Anolis sagrei: one gene and its partner. The protein of the gene in region 1 binds, or shares a complex with, the protein of each later gene. Links are inferred from orthologs where the notes say so. Each region holds a gene or a part of one and is shown in the gene's direction. Other genes may lie near its edges.

The links. The genes of interacting proteins can lie anywhere in the genome.
Region 2: GPKOW (region 1) and CRIPT share a complex: the UniProt entries of both Homo sapiens proteins name them as parts of the minor spliceosome. The link is inferred for Anolis sagrei from reciprocal best matches to the Homo sapiens genes GPKOW and CRIPT.

What each region holds. Positions count from the first base shown.
Region 1 is NC_090022.1:179,133,961-179,141,845, reverse strand, and holds the start of GPKOW (G-patch domain and KOW motifs-containing protein), read left to right. Parts: upstream 1-4,817; 5' UTR 4,818-4,859; coding exon 4,860-5,029; intron 5,030-7,885. Other genes in the region: FTSJ1 (tRNA (cytidine(32)/guanosine(34)-2'-O)-methyltransferase), read right to left, coding at 411-463, 1,299-1,377, 1,498-1,600, 1,703-1,772, 2,484-2,604. UniProt on the Homo sapiens protein: RNA-binding protein involved in pre-mRNA splicing. As a component of the minor spliceosome, involved in the splicing of U12-type introns in pre-mRNAs.
Region 2 is NC_090021.1:26,646,259-26,653,353, reverse strand, and holds the start of CRIPT (cysteine-rich PDZ-binding protein), read left to right. Parts: upstream 1-4,058; 5' UTR 4,059-4,161; coding exon 4,162-4,177; intron 4,178-6,032; coding exon 6,033-6,098; intron 6,099-7,095. UniProt on the Homo sapiens protein: As a component of the minor spliceosome, involved in the splicing of U12-type introns in pre-mRNAs. Involved in the cytoskeletal anchoring of DLG4 in excitatory synapses.

The sequences.
Region 1 (7,885 bases):
AGATAGATAGATAAGATAGATAGACAGACAGACAGACAGACAGGAAACTGGCATGCATATGCTAGGAAGGACACGTAGCACTGAGCACATGCACCTTGATAAGGTCCCTCCAAAGTCTAGAGCTGGATTTTTCCAGTGTAGAGTTCCCAGATTTAAAATTCAGAAAAATGTGTTTTGGGGAACTTCAATGCCCAGAACTTCCCATCTACCAGACCACTAGCCATGATTCCTGAGGGAGTCTAGGAGTTAGTCTCCAAAAGGTAAGTTTCCTAAGCTCGTGTGGATCTGATAGACTCCCTGCCATCTAGGCAGCTTCCCTTTGAAAGGAAATGTATTCCATAATGTAAATCAATCCCTACATCCAACGGGGCTGAGTTTGGGAGAGAGGGAGGAACAATGGAAATACTCACAGCAAGCAGCAGCTGGGCCTGAATGTATTCATCAATGTCATGGAGCCCTGTCACTGGAACAGCAAAGGATACATACATCAAAATAAATACAGGAAGCTATTCCTCACTTTTTGTAAAGCTAACTGGAGAATTGCAATTGGCTAAAGATTTTGGAAATTAGATACAGAGGATTTATGTTTTATTGATTTTATTGTTTATGGAATTTTATGGATGTTTATATGTTTTTAACTGTTTATATTATTGTGGCATCGAATTGTGCCAGTTTTGTAAACCGCCCTGAGTTGCCCTCGGGCTGAGAAGGGTGGTATAGAAATATAGTAAATAAATAAATAAATAATAAGTCCCAGGTGGACTGAGAATGTGGCTGCAGTACACAGACATAAGCAATTATGACAGGAGCACAGAAGCCATGAAAGAAGTAAGGTACTGGAGAAATATAGTCAGTGCTACACATTTGTGGGTTCGACTTTTGTGGATTTGATTTATAGACTTCATTAAAATCTCTCTAGGAATCTCCAGGTCCTCCAGTGTGATTCTATGGTCAACTTCCTCCAGGCCATGAAGTCACGCTGAAGAATACTTAAAAGAACACTTCTCTAAGGTCTCTTGGCTTTCCAGTGCAATCCTATGGTCAGTTTCTAGCAGATGCTGAGCCAAGAACCAAGCAGAAAGATCTAGAAATTCCTAGAGACATGTTTTCTCAGCTAATAAAAGCAACAATTTTTCATGTATGATATTTTACATTTAGGGAGGCACTGTGCCTTTAAGCCCAGAGAATGTGGGAGGCTGACTGCACCCTGTTTAGAGATGGCAGATTCTCCCTGGCCAATGGTGCACAATCCTGGGAAAAGTAGAAACAGTAAGATTATGGCTGTGATTTCTACCTACCATCAGGAGCTCCATCACACACCACCAAGTCAGCAGGTTGCCCTTCAAAATGATGGATTATCTCTTCTGCTGTAGAGACCTGGAAGCAGAGGGAGAGAAGTGATGGGGTGGGTTATAATGGCCAAAGGGTTGCTATTAAGTAGGCCTTAAATTCAAGGAGAGGTAGGGTGGATTTTGAATTGGGTTGGAAACACAATACCTTGGTAATGTCCCCCTGAATTTGAATAACTCCAGACAAGGGAGCCATGGCTTGCAAATCTACAGCCACTATTTTGACATCTTCATTTTTAGCACCTTCTCCTCTGTAGAAAAAAAAGGGTGTGTGTGTGTTGAGGATGAATTTCTGGTTATCTCCTATAAGGTGGTAGTCCCCCATAAACACTACAACAAAGTGACTTGCTTACTTCAGTTTTCGGCTCAAAACTTGGCTCCAGCTCCCAGGAGCAGCACAGAGATCCACAGCCCTTGAGACACCTAGAGAGAGAAAAGAGGGAATAAGAAAGGTAAGGGGATGCCATGGCAAGAAGACTGCAATATGAGACTAGGAAGTACAACTCATGGGTTTCTTTCCTGAAAAAAGATAGTAGGGGAAAAAGGAAGGTTTCCAAGTTTGCTCAAATTTCGAAATGATAGCCTTGCTTCTGAGCCCCAAAATATTATCTCCATGGCAAACAAACAGTATTCTGTATATGCTCAAAGGAAGTGTTCTATTGCCAAGCTTGAAGTGATTTCTGCACAGTCCACTGTAAACACTGCAAATTTGTGAAAATGGGTGGCATTCAGAAACCTTTTTCCAATTTTTTTGTGATCCCAATATTGAGCTAAAGGGGACCCCATTTGAGGTTGGGACTCACAGTTTAAGAATAGTGGTCTAGACCAGTGATTCTCAAACTCTGATCCTCCAGATATTTTGGACCTTCAGGAAATCTAGAAGTTGAGGTCCCAAACATATGGAGGGCCAAAACTGACAGCTATTCGGCAGAGTAAATTTGATTATTTCTTGCAGCTTAACTTCCCATCACTTTTATCCTACCAGATAAAAGTCCTCCTTGGCTAAGATGGCTAGGATTGATCAGAGTTGCAGTACAAGAACATCTGCAAGATTGTACCACTCCCATGCACAACTGAAATGTTTCACCCCACACATTCTGGATAGATGAATTCCAATTGTATGATGGGGCTCACCTTGAAACAAATGATATTCTTCATCCAGTTGGAGAAGTTTGAAGGCGCTGCGAGCTCGCCAGCCTTCCTCCTTCGCCAAGCGGTAGTAAATGTCCCGTTTGTCCTTAGAGGAACGTCCCATCTTCCCTTACATGAAATGTCCTGGATGTGAGAGAGAAGAAAAACAATTGACTACTATGTCAGCAAGAATTATGAATTGAGCAGCAGCATTGGCTTATTATAATCAATGAAATCAAGGCATCCATATTGGTTAAAAGTGAAGATGGTTCAAGGAATAATAAAGCTGAAGAGCCCACGTGGGTCATCCAGTCCACCCCTTGCCATGCACAATCAGAGCAGACAGCCTATCAAACCCCCACACTATAGGAATGGAAAACATGTGTTTCTAGACAAAAGTTCCTAACCTCTCTGACCACTGGCTAAAGCCCCTTCCACACAGCTGTATAAAATCCCACATTACCTGCTTTGAACTGGATTATATGGCAGTGTGGACTCTGATAACCCATTTCAAAGCAGATGTGAATTATCTGCCTTGATATTCTGGGTTATACAGCCGTGTGGAATTACCCCTTCTACACTGCTATAGAAAATTTATTTATTATTTATGACATTTATATGCCACCCTCCTCACCCTGAAGAGGACCCAGAGCGGCTTACAAGATATATATACATTCAATATATATTATTAGCATAGTATAATGTCAGTATTATATATTACTAACTTTCACCTGCCACGGGTTGCTGTGGCCCAGTCTGCTGATCTGGAAAATAAAGTAACGGGAAAGTGTTGGTTTCTAATATATGTAATTTCTTTATGCTTGTGGGTAAACAATATTTCTTGCTGTTTCTTTGCCAGTGTTGATGTGGAGATGGTCTGGTTTGCCTACTGTAGAACATGCAACATATAATTTTTCTTCTTTAGGGGTCCTTTTCAAATCTATGATACTATATCTGTGTGTGGATCATATCTATCTATTTATATCTATGGCTGGATGGCTCTTTGTCAGAAGGGCTTTGATTATATTTTCTTGCCCTGGTGAAAGGAGTTGGACTGGATGGCCTTAAGGCAGCATTTCTCAACCTGGGGGTCGGGACCCCAGGTGTGTGTGTGTGTGAGGAGGTGTCAAAAGGGTCACCAAAGAAAAACACAGTATTTTCTGTTGGTCCTGGGGCTTCTGTGTGGGAAGTTTGGCCAATTCTATCGTTGGTGGGATTCAGAATGCTCTGTGTAGGTGAACTATAAATCCCAGTAACTACAACTCCAAAATGTCAAGGTCTATTTCCCCCAAACTCCACCTGTGTTCGTATTTGGGCATATTGAGTATTCATGCCAAATTTGGCATAGATCTTTCATCGTTTGAGTCCACAGTGCTCCCTGGATGTAGGTGAACTGCAACTCCCAAACTCAAGATCAATGCCCTCTAAACCCTTCCAATATTTTCTGTTGGTCAAGTGAGTTCTGTGTGCCAGGTTTGGTTCAATTCCATCATTGATGGAGTTCAGAATGCGCTTTGATTGTAGGTGAACTATAAATCCCAGCAACTACAACTCCCAAATGAAAAAATCATAATTTTTGAGTGATGGTCACTCTTTGTGTTGTGAAATGTTTTGTTGCCAAATTTGGTGTAATTGGTTCTTTTGTTTTTAAGGTACTCATTATGCACAGAGCATTTTAATATATATACTATAATTACCATTATATTGTAATTTTATTAGTAATATGACATGTAATATAAAATATATAATTATTATATTGTATTATTATTAGTATTATATTGTTTTACATTACAATATTATAAATATATGTATATACAATATATTATATAAGTAAACCACAGGAGACAAGATGGAACTGTCTTCTGCCCCCCCCCTTCCAGACTGTATAGACTCATATAATCCAGTTCAAAGCAGCTAATGTGGCTGATCTTCTTTGGTAATCTGGATTATATGACAGGGGGCCTTAAAAGCATCTGAAAAAATGGGAGGAGTTTTCCTGACAAACCGAGACAACGGAAGGACATCGGGTATCCAGTGGAGACATCCATAAACGATGATCTCTTTATAAATCTGCAAACCGAATAAGAAAAAGCAAAGGTCTCTATAATTACCAGTGTAAATTCAGACAGTGCTCGATTGTTATCTTCAGAGAGCAGAGAAAAGCGTGGAAGAGAAGAAGCGCATGCGCAACATGACTTATGTGCGGCCGGCTCCGGAAGGAAGTGCTGTTGCCGCATTGCATCCTGGGAGTTGTCGTCCTCAGGCGCCTCTGTTTCAGAACTTCGATAAAGAAGCGGGAGTCTCTAAAACTTCGTCTCCCATGATGCAACGCAACGACGTAAGTGGCGATGGGGGCGGGGCAAGGCAGGGGAAAATAAGATGGCGGAAGGAGCAGAGAAGTCAGCGGCCACTCCGCCGGCCCCGGTCTCTTTCGGCTTCACTCGGACCACTGGGCGGAGGCGGTTTTTGGTGGTGACCGGGCAGGATGGCGGCGAGGCGAAGCAGGAGCCCGACTTCCTCTCAGCCGTCGAGGGACGGGAGTTGCAAAGGTAGGCCGGCTTCCTGCTCTCGACCAGCTTGGGCCTAGGAGCAGGGGGCGCCTCTCAAGGCGCAGCTACATTGTGGAATGAGCGCACTTCGACACCGCTTTAACTGCCTCGTCTCAATGTTGTTAAATTCAAGGATTTGACAGTGTTATTTCAATGTTTAAATGGGCAGTACTTACTTTGAAGGTAGTTGTTCTACTCCAGAAACTTCGTTTTTGTGGCTGCCGTAAACTATGTGGAATTGGTCGATCCTCTATTGAGATATTCATTGAAAAACTAGAGCAAATGTGTTGCAAGATGCCCCAGTGCAAGGTCTTTGCAGTTTAATAATCTTTTCCATGTTTTTATGATAGACCCAATTAGGAAATTTATTTATTTATTTATTTCGAGTACTTCTAGCCCGCCCTTCTCAACCCCCGAGGGGGGACTCAGGGCGGCTTACAAAAAGGCACAATTCGATGCCGACACAAAATACACATAACGTACAAAACCATAATTAAAACAATTAGCACAGTTAAAACAGTCGGTATATAACACATCAATAAAACTAATCTCATGCTCAGCATTCGTCTTTCAGAGTTCCATAATTCCATTCATTAGTCAATTCCTGTCCATCGTCAAAGTCCTTTCTTTATCTGCCAGATTATCCGAATGCCTGGTCCCAAATCCATGTTTTCAATTTTTTCCTAAAGGAAAGGAGGGATGACACTGATCTAATTTCCCTGGGGAGTGAATTTCACAGGTGGGGGGCCACCACTGAGAACGCCCTGCTCCTCGTCCCCACCAACCTCACTTGTGATAGAGGCGGGGTCGAGAGCAGGGCCTCCCCAGAAGATCTTAGACTCCGAGGTGGGACGTAAAGGGAGATCCGTTCGGACAGATACACTGGGCCGGAACCGTATAGGGTTTTGTAGGTCAAAACCAGCACTTTGAATTGTGCTTGTAATTGGATCGCCAGCTAGTGGAGCTGACACAACAGGGGGGTGGTATGCTCCCTGTATGACGCTCCGGTGAGCAATCTCGCTGCCTCCTGCTGGACTATTTGGAGTTTCAGAACAGTCTTCAAAGGCAACCCCACGTAGAGTGCGTTGCAGTAATCTAATCGGGATGTAACAAGAGCGTGGACCACCGTGGCCAGATCCAACTTCCCAAGGTACGGGCACAGCTGGCGCACAAGTTTTAGTTGTGCAAAAGCTCTCCCGGCCACCGCTGGGTTACATTGATAACCCAGGAACAGAAACCGTGTTACAATGAGGCAGGCTGGCTCTGTCAAAATTACACTCTTTAGAGACTTACTAGTGTTCAGATTGTAGTTGTTGACAGCTTTCGGCTATTGTTGTTGTTCATTCGTTCAGACATTTCCGACTCTTCGTGACCTCATGGACCAGCCCACGCCAGAGCTCCCTGTTGGCCGTCACCACCTCCAGCTCCTTCAGGGTCAATCCAGTCACTTCAAGGATCCCATCCATCCATCTTGCCCTTGGTCGGCCCCTCTTCCTTTTTCCTTCCGTTTCCCCCAGCATCATTGTCTTCTCCAAGCTTTCCTTTCTTCTCATGATGTGGTCAAAGTACTTCATCTTGGCCTCTACTGTCCTTCCCTCCAATGAGCAGTCGGGCTTTATTTCCTGGAGGATGGACTGGAGGAATCCTTTCCAGCCAACAAACCTTTATATGGCCCTGGGTATATCTATATAAATAAAAATGAAATGTTCGTTTGTGGGATTAACATAACTCACTGGACAAATTGACACCAAATTTGGACAGAATACACCTATCAGGCCAACAAGTGACCGTCACTCATAAAAACACTGAAAAACACAGCAGCAATCCAAGGCACGCTCAGCTCTTTCCTCCAACACCACAGTTCAAAAGCATCTATTTTCCTTTGCTCAGTCTTCCTTATGGTCCAGCTCTCACATCCGTAGGTGACTATGGGGAATACCATTGCTTTCGGCTAACAAATGTATTATAACATGAAGTACAGTTTACTTGCTAAGTGCACACAATTCATTGGTACATATAAGTCTATTACTAGAGATCTGGATCGAGATGGCAAATTCTTAGAACCATAGAATACTAAGCATGGAAGGTGCAGCACTCAATACATAACGGAAGCACTTTTGAAAGATGCCCATCTGACATCAGTTTAAAGGCCTCTAAAGGAGGAAGGCTCACTGCATTTATTAGCTGGCTTATCTAGTGCCAATTGTGTATATTTGTGATGCTGTAGATCAGGGGTTCTCAAACTAAAGCCCGGGGGCCGGATATAGCCCTCCAAGGTCATTTACCCGGCCGTCGCTCAGAGTTGACCTAAGTCTGAAACTACTTGAAAGCATACAACAACAACAATCCTATCTCATCAGCCAAAAGCAGGTCCACACTTCCCACTGAGATACTAATACGTTTATATTTGTTAAAATTGTTCTTCATTTTAATTATTGTATTGTTTTTAAATGTTTTTTGCACTACAAATAAGATATGTGCAGTGTGCATAGGAATTCATTCATGTTTTTTTTCCAAATTATAATCTGGCCCTCCAACAGTTTGAAGGACTGTGACCTGGCCCTCTGTTTAAAAAGTGTGAGGACCCCAGCTGTAGAGTATCTGATGCTATACAAGTAGTCCCTGAGTTACAGACATGATAGGTTCTGTAGATTTGTTCATAAGTTGAATTTGTATGTAAGCGGAAACAGAACTGTAACTCCAGCCAAATATGTATACAGTATATGTATGTGTGTGCACACATATACATATACATGCGTGCACACAAATACACATGCTTTAAATAGCATGGGGAAGGGTTAAGACCCCTGTGGTGGTTGTTTGGCTGTCTATGCCCCTGTTAAGAAGATTTCACTT
Region 2 (7,095 bases), on another chromosome or scaffold:
GGCAATCTACTTTATTCCTTTTCTTTCCCTTTGCTCTAGACCCGAAAGGAGTTTTTTTTTAGTTCAAAACCCTAAATGATTTGTATAATGAAAGATATGTGTGCCAAGTTTGGTTCAGGTCAACCAAGCCACATTGGAGCTTTTATGATACCAGCCAACCATCATACATACCCAGTACCCGCATGCTTTGACCTATGTATATATCCATCATCATCATCATCATCATCATCATAACTTTAAAAACCAAAAAGTAAATCACAACACTGTTCCTAAGTATTTACCATGAGGAACATGAGAGAAGACAACACAAAATATACTAACAACACAAAACCCACAATTAATAAGAATAAGAATAAGAATAATAAAAACAAAAATTAACATTTGGCCTAATAAGAAAGAAAATACGACAAAACAGCACAAAATATGATAGGGGCATAACATCCAATAATAATAATAATAATAATAATAATAATTTAAAAATCAAAAATTAGCATTTGATCTAACAATAAAGAATATAAGATATGATGGCCTAAAATACAATAAGCACATAAAATTCACAACATATATTGATCCAATTTATTTATGTTAAATTTCAATTGTTATGTCTTACTTTTATTTCTTTTGTTATACATTTGTATTGTTGCAATTTTTGTTGTATATTTTATGCTGCACTGGTTTGTATTGTTGTCTTGTAAGATGCCCTGAGTCCCTCTGGGGAGATGGGGTGGGATAAAATATAGTTGTTGTTGTTGTTGTTTAATATATTATATTATTAGCATAGCACAATATTAGTATTTTAATTATTTATTGCATTTATAAATAATTATATATTATTTTATTGTACTACAACTATAGCGCAATATTATTAGTAATATCATATGCAATATATGATATACAATTTTTACATTACCATATATTATATTGTACTATATGCATACACACATACACATTTTCATTTTTTATTATGATTATATATAATGCAAGGGTTGGATGAAAAGTAATGCCTCCACCTTCGCTACTTGTGTTTGGATGGGAATATTTTAATAAATCAAACGCAGATATAATCCTTAGAATGTGCTTTTTAACTACCACTATTCACTTTTCCACATAATCACCAGACAATTGGATACATTTCTGCCAACGATGAACATAATTTCTGAAGCCGTCACGGAAGAAGTCGACGCTCTGTTTCCGCAACCAGCGTCTCACATTCTCTCATTCTGGGTAGCCATTGTGCACAGATCTTCCGATAGCCTAGCAAAGCAATAATGTGACCCACACGTCCTTGTGAAATGCCGATTATGCTTGAAATTTTTCTCTGAGTGATATGACAATCATCCTGAATCAATCTGTCAACCTTTTCTAGTCACCTCACTACCTCTGAGGATGCTTGCCATAGATGCAGGCGAAACGTCAGGAGAGAATGCCTCTAGAACATGGCCATATAGCCCTAAAAAACTTACAACAACCTAGTGATTCTGGCCATGAAAGCCTTCGACAATACATGTCAACCTTTTGCTTGTGAAACTCGGTGGTTGCTGTCACAGGACGTCCAAATCTTTCTTTGTCATGCAAGTCAGATGTTCCCACCTCAACATCTTTAAACTTGGGTTGTTGTAGTTTTTTCAGGCTATATGGCCATGGTCTAGAGGCATTCTCTCCTGACGTTTCACCTGCATCTATGGCAAGCATCCTCAGAGGTAGTGAGGTCTTTAAACTTATTCACCCAACGATGCACAGTACTCACATCAACACAATCACCATAAACAGCTTGCATTTTGGGGGTGACACCTTCTGCTGTCAAAAATTCAATGACTGCATGGTGCTTAAGTCGCATTGACCGACTGTCTGCGCAGGGTTCCATACTTTGCACTTTAACGTTCAATGCTAAGGCTTCCTGCCAAAATGGAACTGCAAGGGAGGGTCTACTGAACAAACCAGTACCTGCCACATACCATGACTACCATCTGTTGAGTTATGAAGGTGGAGGCATTACTTTTCATTCAACCCTCGTATATTAGTAGTATTTTTTTGTTGTTGTTCATTCATTCAGTCGTTTCCGACTCTTCGTGACTTCATGGACCAGCCCACGTCAGAGCTCCCTCTCGGTCGTCACCACCCCCAGCTCAATCCAGTCACTTCAAGGATACCGTCCATCCCTTGGTCGGCCCCTCTTCCTTTTTCCTTCCATTTTCCCCAGCATAATTGTCTTCTCTAAGCTTTCCTTTCTTCTCATGATGTGGCCAAAGTACTTCAACTTGGCTTCTACTATTCTTCCCTCCAATGAGCAGTCAGGCTTTATTTCTTGAAGTTTGGACTGGTTGGATCTTCTCGCTGTCCAAGGTACTCTCACCACTTTCCTCCAACACCACAGTTCAAAAGCGTCTATCTTCCCTCGCTCAGCCTTCCCTATATAGCAGTGTTTCTCAACCTGGGGGTCGGGACCCCAGTGGGGGTCGCGAGGGGGTGTCAGAGGGGTCGTCAAAGACCATCAGAAAATATAGTATTTTCTGTTGGTCATGGGGGTTCTGTGTGGAAAGTTTGGTCCAATTCTATCATTGGTGGGGTTCAGAATGTTATTTCATTGTGGGTGAACTATAAATCCCAACAACTACAACTCCCAAATGTCAAAGTCTATTTTCTCCAAACTCTACCAGTGTTCACATTTGGGCATATTGAGTATTTGTGCCAAGTTTGATCCAGATCCATCATTACTTGAGTCCACAGTCTGGATATAGGTGAACTACAACTCCAAAAACTCAAGGTCAATGTCCACCAGACTTTCCCAATATTTTCTCTTGGTCATGGGAATTCTGTGTGCCATGTTTGATTTAATTCCATCATTGATGGCGTTCAGAAGGCTCTTTGATTTAAGGTGAACTATAAATCCCAGCAACTCCAGCATTACCAAATGACAAAATCAATCACCCCCAACCCCACCAGTATTCAAATTTTGGGCGTATCGGGTATTTGTGCCAAATTTGGTCCAGTGACTGAAAATACATCCTGCATATCAGATATTTACATTACAATTCATAACAGTATCAAAATTACAGTTATGAAGTAGCAACGAAAATAACGTTATGGTTGGGGGTCACCACAACATGAGGACCTGTACTAAGGGGTCACGGCATTAGGAAGGTTGAGAACCACTGCTATATAGGGTCCAGCTCTCACATCTGTAGGTGACTACGGGGAATACAATTGCTTTTACTATGCGGATCTTTGTTGCCAGTGTGATGTCTCTACTCTTCACTATTTTATCAAGATTGGTCATTGCTCTCCTCCCAAGAAGTAAGTGTCTCCTGATTTCCTGGCTGTAGTCTGCGTCTGAAGTAATCTTTGCACCTAGAAATACAAAGTCTGTCACGGCCTCCACGTTTACTCCCTCTATTTCCCAGTTGTCAATCATTCTTGTTGCCATAATCTTGGGTTTTTTTATGTTTAGCTGCAACCCAGCTTTTGCACTTTCTTCTTTCACCTTGATTAGAAGGCTCCTCAGCTCCTCCTCGCTTTTGGCCATCAAAGTGGTGTCATCTGCATATCTGAGGTTGTTAATGTTTCTTCCAGCAATTTTCACCTCAGCCTTGCATTTGTTAAGCCCCGCACATCGCATGATGTGTTCTGCATACAAGTTGCATTATTAGTAGTATTACATTACAATAAAAATCCAGTGAGAGGGTGCTTCCAGACTGTATAATGTATGCAGTTGGACACCATTTGAACTGGCCATAGAATCCTGGGAGTTGTAGTTTCAAAAGGCCTACAACTCTCAGGATTCAGTAGCACTGAGCCAGGGCAGTCCAAGTGGTGTCAAGAGTACATTAATTCTATAGTTCCAGGGAGTGGAGGGGAAAGGGTAAGCTCACCTGTCTGCCTTCAGCTGCTAGTGGGCGGGGCTTAGTGGGCCGAATCCAAGAGGGCGCCTCCAAGCCCCTTTCCCAACCACCACCATCACTGAGGAGAAGCCATTGACGTCATCGCGCTCCACGCCCTGCGCGCGCCCTACGTGCCTTGCGTCCTGCCTTCTCCCCGCCCCTTAGGCGTTCTCAACCAATACGACGAAGGCGGAAGTGAATAGCGGAGGCAGGAAGCCGGAAGTGCGAAGGGATTGTATTGTTGTCGGAGACGCTGCTGTTGGCTTCGCGAGTGGGGTTCGCCATGGTCTGCGAAAAGTGTGAGTGGAAAAGACAGGGATATATAGTTGTGAAAGAACTATATAATAGAGTGTTGTTATTGTTATTGTCTTAATGGAGACAGTTTTCAAGCCCGTACACCAGGCCTGCGCAAACTTGGGCCTTCAGGGTGTTTTGGACTTCAACTCCCAGAATTCCTAACAGCCTACCGGTTGGGAGTTGAAGTCCAAAACACCCTGAAGGCCCAGGTTTGCCCAGGCCTGCACTAAACAGATATATCCCCTTTGGGGTGAGAAGGGCGGTAAGTGCAGTGTGCAAGCAATCTTAAAGTCTAATAAAGTGCTTCTGGGACATGTTGTTGGAGTTTTCCTATTCTGGAAAGGCACATCGGAACAGCCAAGTCTTCAAGTTCTTCCTAAAGACTGCCAACATAGGGGCCTGTCTAATATCTTTGGGGAGGGTGTTCCAGAGTCGGGGGGCCACCACAGAAAACGTCCTGTCTCGCATCCCCACCAGACGCGCCTGCGACGCAGGTGGAATCGTGAGCAGGGCTTCTCCGGATGAGCGAAGAGAACGCGTGGGTTCATAAACGGAGATGCGTATATAGACCCACAGCCAGTACACCGATCTTGGAAGACAATCCTACTCGGACAACAAGAAGAAGATCATATAGTGTTACCTGAAGCGGAGTTGGTAGATCAAAAGACAACCTGGCAAAATGGCACTACCTAGAAGAATCCTCCACTTTGTGCGATTGTGGAGCAGAACAAACAACTCCGTATCTGTATGCTTGCCCACAATGCCCCGCCTCATGCACAGCGGAAGAACTATTTAAATCGACAGACAGTGTGGTTGTTGTTTCCCGGTTTTGATCTACAATGATTTAACTGCTTGTGCTCTCTTTGTTTTATCAGTTTTATACTTATTTATTTGTGGTATGCTTTTGACATGAAATAAAACAAACCATAAACCCTACATTCCAAAAGGATTTCTCACTGAATATACACTTGGAAAGAACCTTTTCCAATTTGCACAATTTTTTTAGTAACTCATAACTCTGGAACTCCCTCCCTAAAGAACTAAAAATGCCCCCCTTAAAAACCTATTTATGCACTTTAGCATATGGAGTGGAGGCAGATTAGTATATCTTAATTGTATACTCTCATTTAGATACTGAAAATCTCCCTCAGTCCTGTTGGTAGCAGTTAACCACTCCATATTTTAATGCATTTTAGCTACTCAGTTTTACTCGTATTATGTTGGTAAATGTGTGTAATGTGATATATTATGTTTATTTAAGTTCTTTTTGGGTAGTATTGGTTAGTTTTTATTAGTTTATATTGATGTTTTATTTATTATGCTGATTGATTTGCTGTTTGTTTTATTATGGCATTGAATGTTTGCCACTTTTGATGGAAACCGCCCTGAGTCCCCTCAGGGAGAAAGGGCGGGTTACAAATATATTATTATTATTATTATTATTATTATTATAAACCAGGAAAACATTATGAGATTCTTATAACAATATCACATATTGTTAATACAATATTAACAAGGGATAGGGGCTTGAAGAGAAATGGAAGGTGGACGTGGGCTTTATATGTTTGACTGTATTCTCCTAAGTAAGTCCGTTTGGAATTGCAATCTTATGTATAATAACTTGGCAGTACATTCACTAATCTGAATAATATTTCCTTTTGAGTAAATATGAGTAACACTCATGCTATGCATCCTTCACATCCCATTATAGCATCGTATGATACTAGAATTGAAAGAATGAACTACTTTGTTTTACTAGTATCGCCAGGGGGGTAAACAACATTTCTGATGTGTTTTCATTATAAAACTGTTCAGAGTGTCACAATCTTTGCTTTGTATTTTTGCACTTTTCAATAGGTGAGAGAAAACTGGGTACTGTCATTACACCTGATACATGGAAAGATGGCGCAAGAAACACAACAGGTAGTTCCAAAACATGTGTCACTACATAGATATGTGTTCCTGGTGTTCATTTAAGACAGTCTCTTATTTTTCTGTTGAGATGAATATGGCTAGAAAATTAAATATTAGTTCAGAGAAAGAGAAAAGCTTGAAAACCTCAGACCCTACACTGATCAGCTCATATAATGCGGTTTAACTTCATTGCACTGCATTATGTGAGTTTATACTGACATATAATCCAATTTCAAACTGCATTATATAGCAGTGTAGATGAGGCCATAGTCTCAGTAAGGAGTTTATGTGTCTGGCTGACTATCTTTTTGAAAGTTACTAAAACTCAGTTCAAAATAAAATTGCTTTCTAATATTAATTTTCTCTTCAGTTGTTTAGTGATTGCATATTACACAATCACCATATTTTGTAGAATCCTTATGGGCATACATCAGTCCTTGATTGCTTTTATGTCTGTTTGAATCACATTGTGTGTATCCTTGATAGCTTATTATTATGTTTGTTTATACTAGGGGTCCTCAAACTTTTTAAACCGAGGGCCAGGTCACAGTCCCTCAAACTGTTGGAGGGCCGGATTATAATTTGAAAAAAACATGAATGGATTCCTATGCACACTGCACATATCTTATTCGTCGTGCAAAAAACACTTTAAAACAATACAATAATTAAAATGAAGAACAATGTTAACAAATATAAACTTATTAGTATTTCAATGGGAAGCGTGGGCCTGCTTTTGGCTGATGAGATAGGATTGTCATTGTTGTGTGCTTTCAAATAAATTCAAACTTAGGTTGACCCTGAGCGAAGGCTGGGTAAATGACCTTGGAGGGCCGTATCCGGCCCTCGGGCCTTAGTTTGAGGACTCCTGGTTTATACCCTGCTTTTTCTCTCCACAAGGAGACTCAAAACAGCTAAGTACTGATGCAGCTTGCTTAAGAAACTTTTTAACTGGGTAATGTGGGAATGATCAAATTTGGTGTTGATGAACTTGGTTCCGAGGATCCAG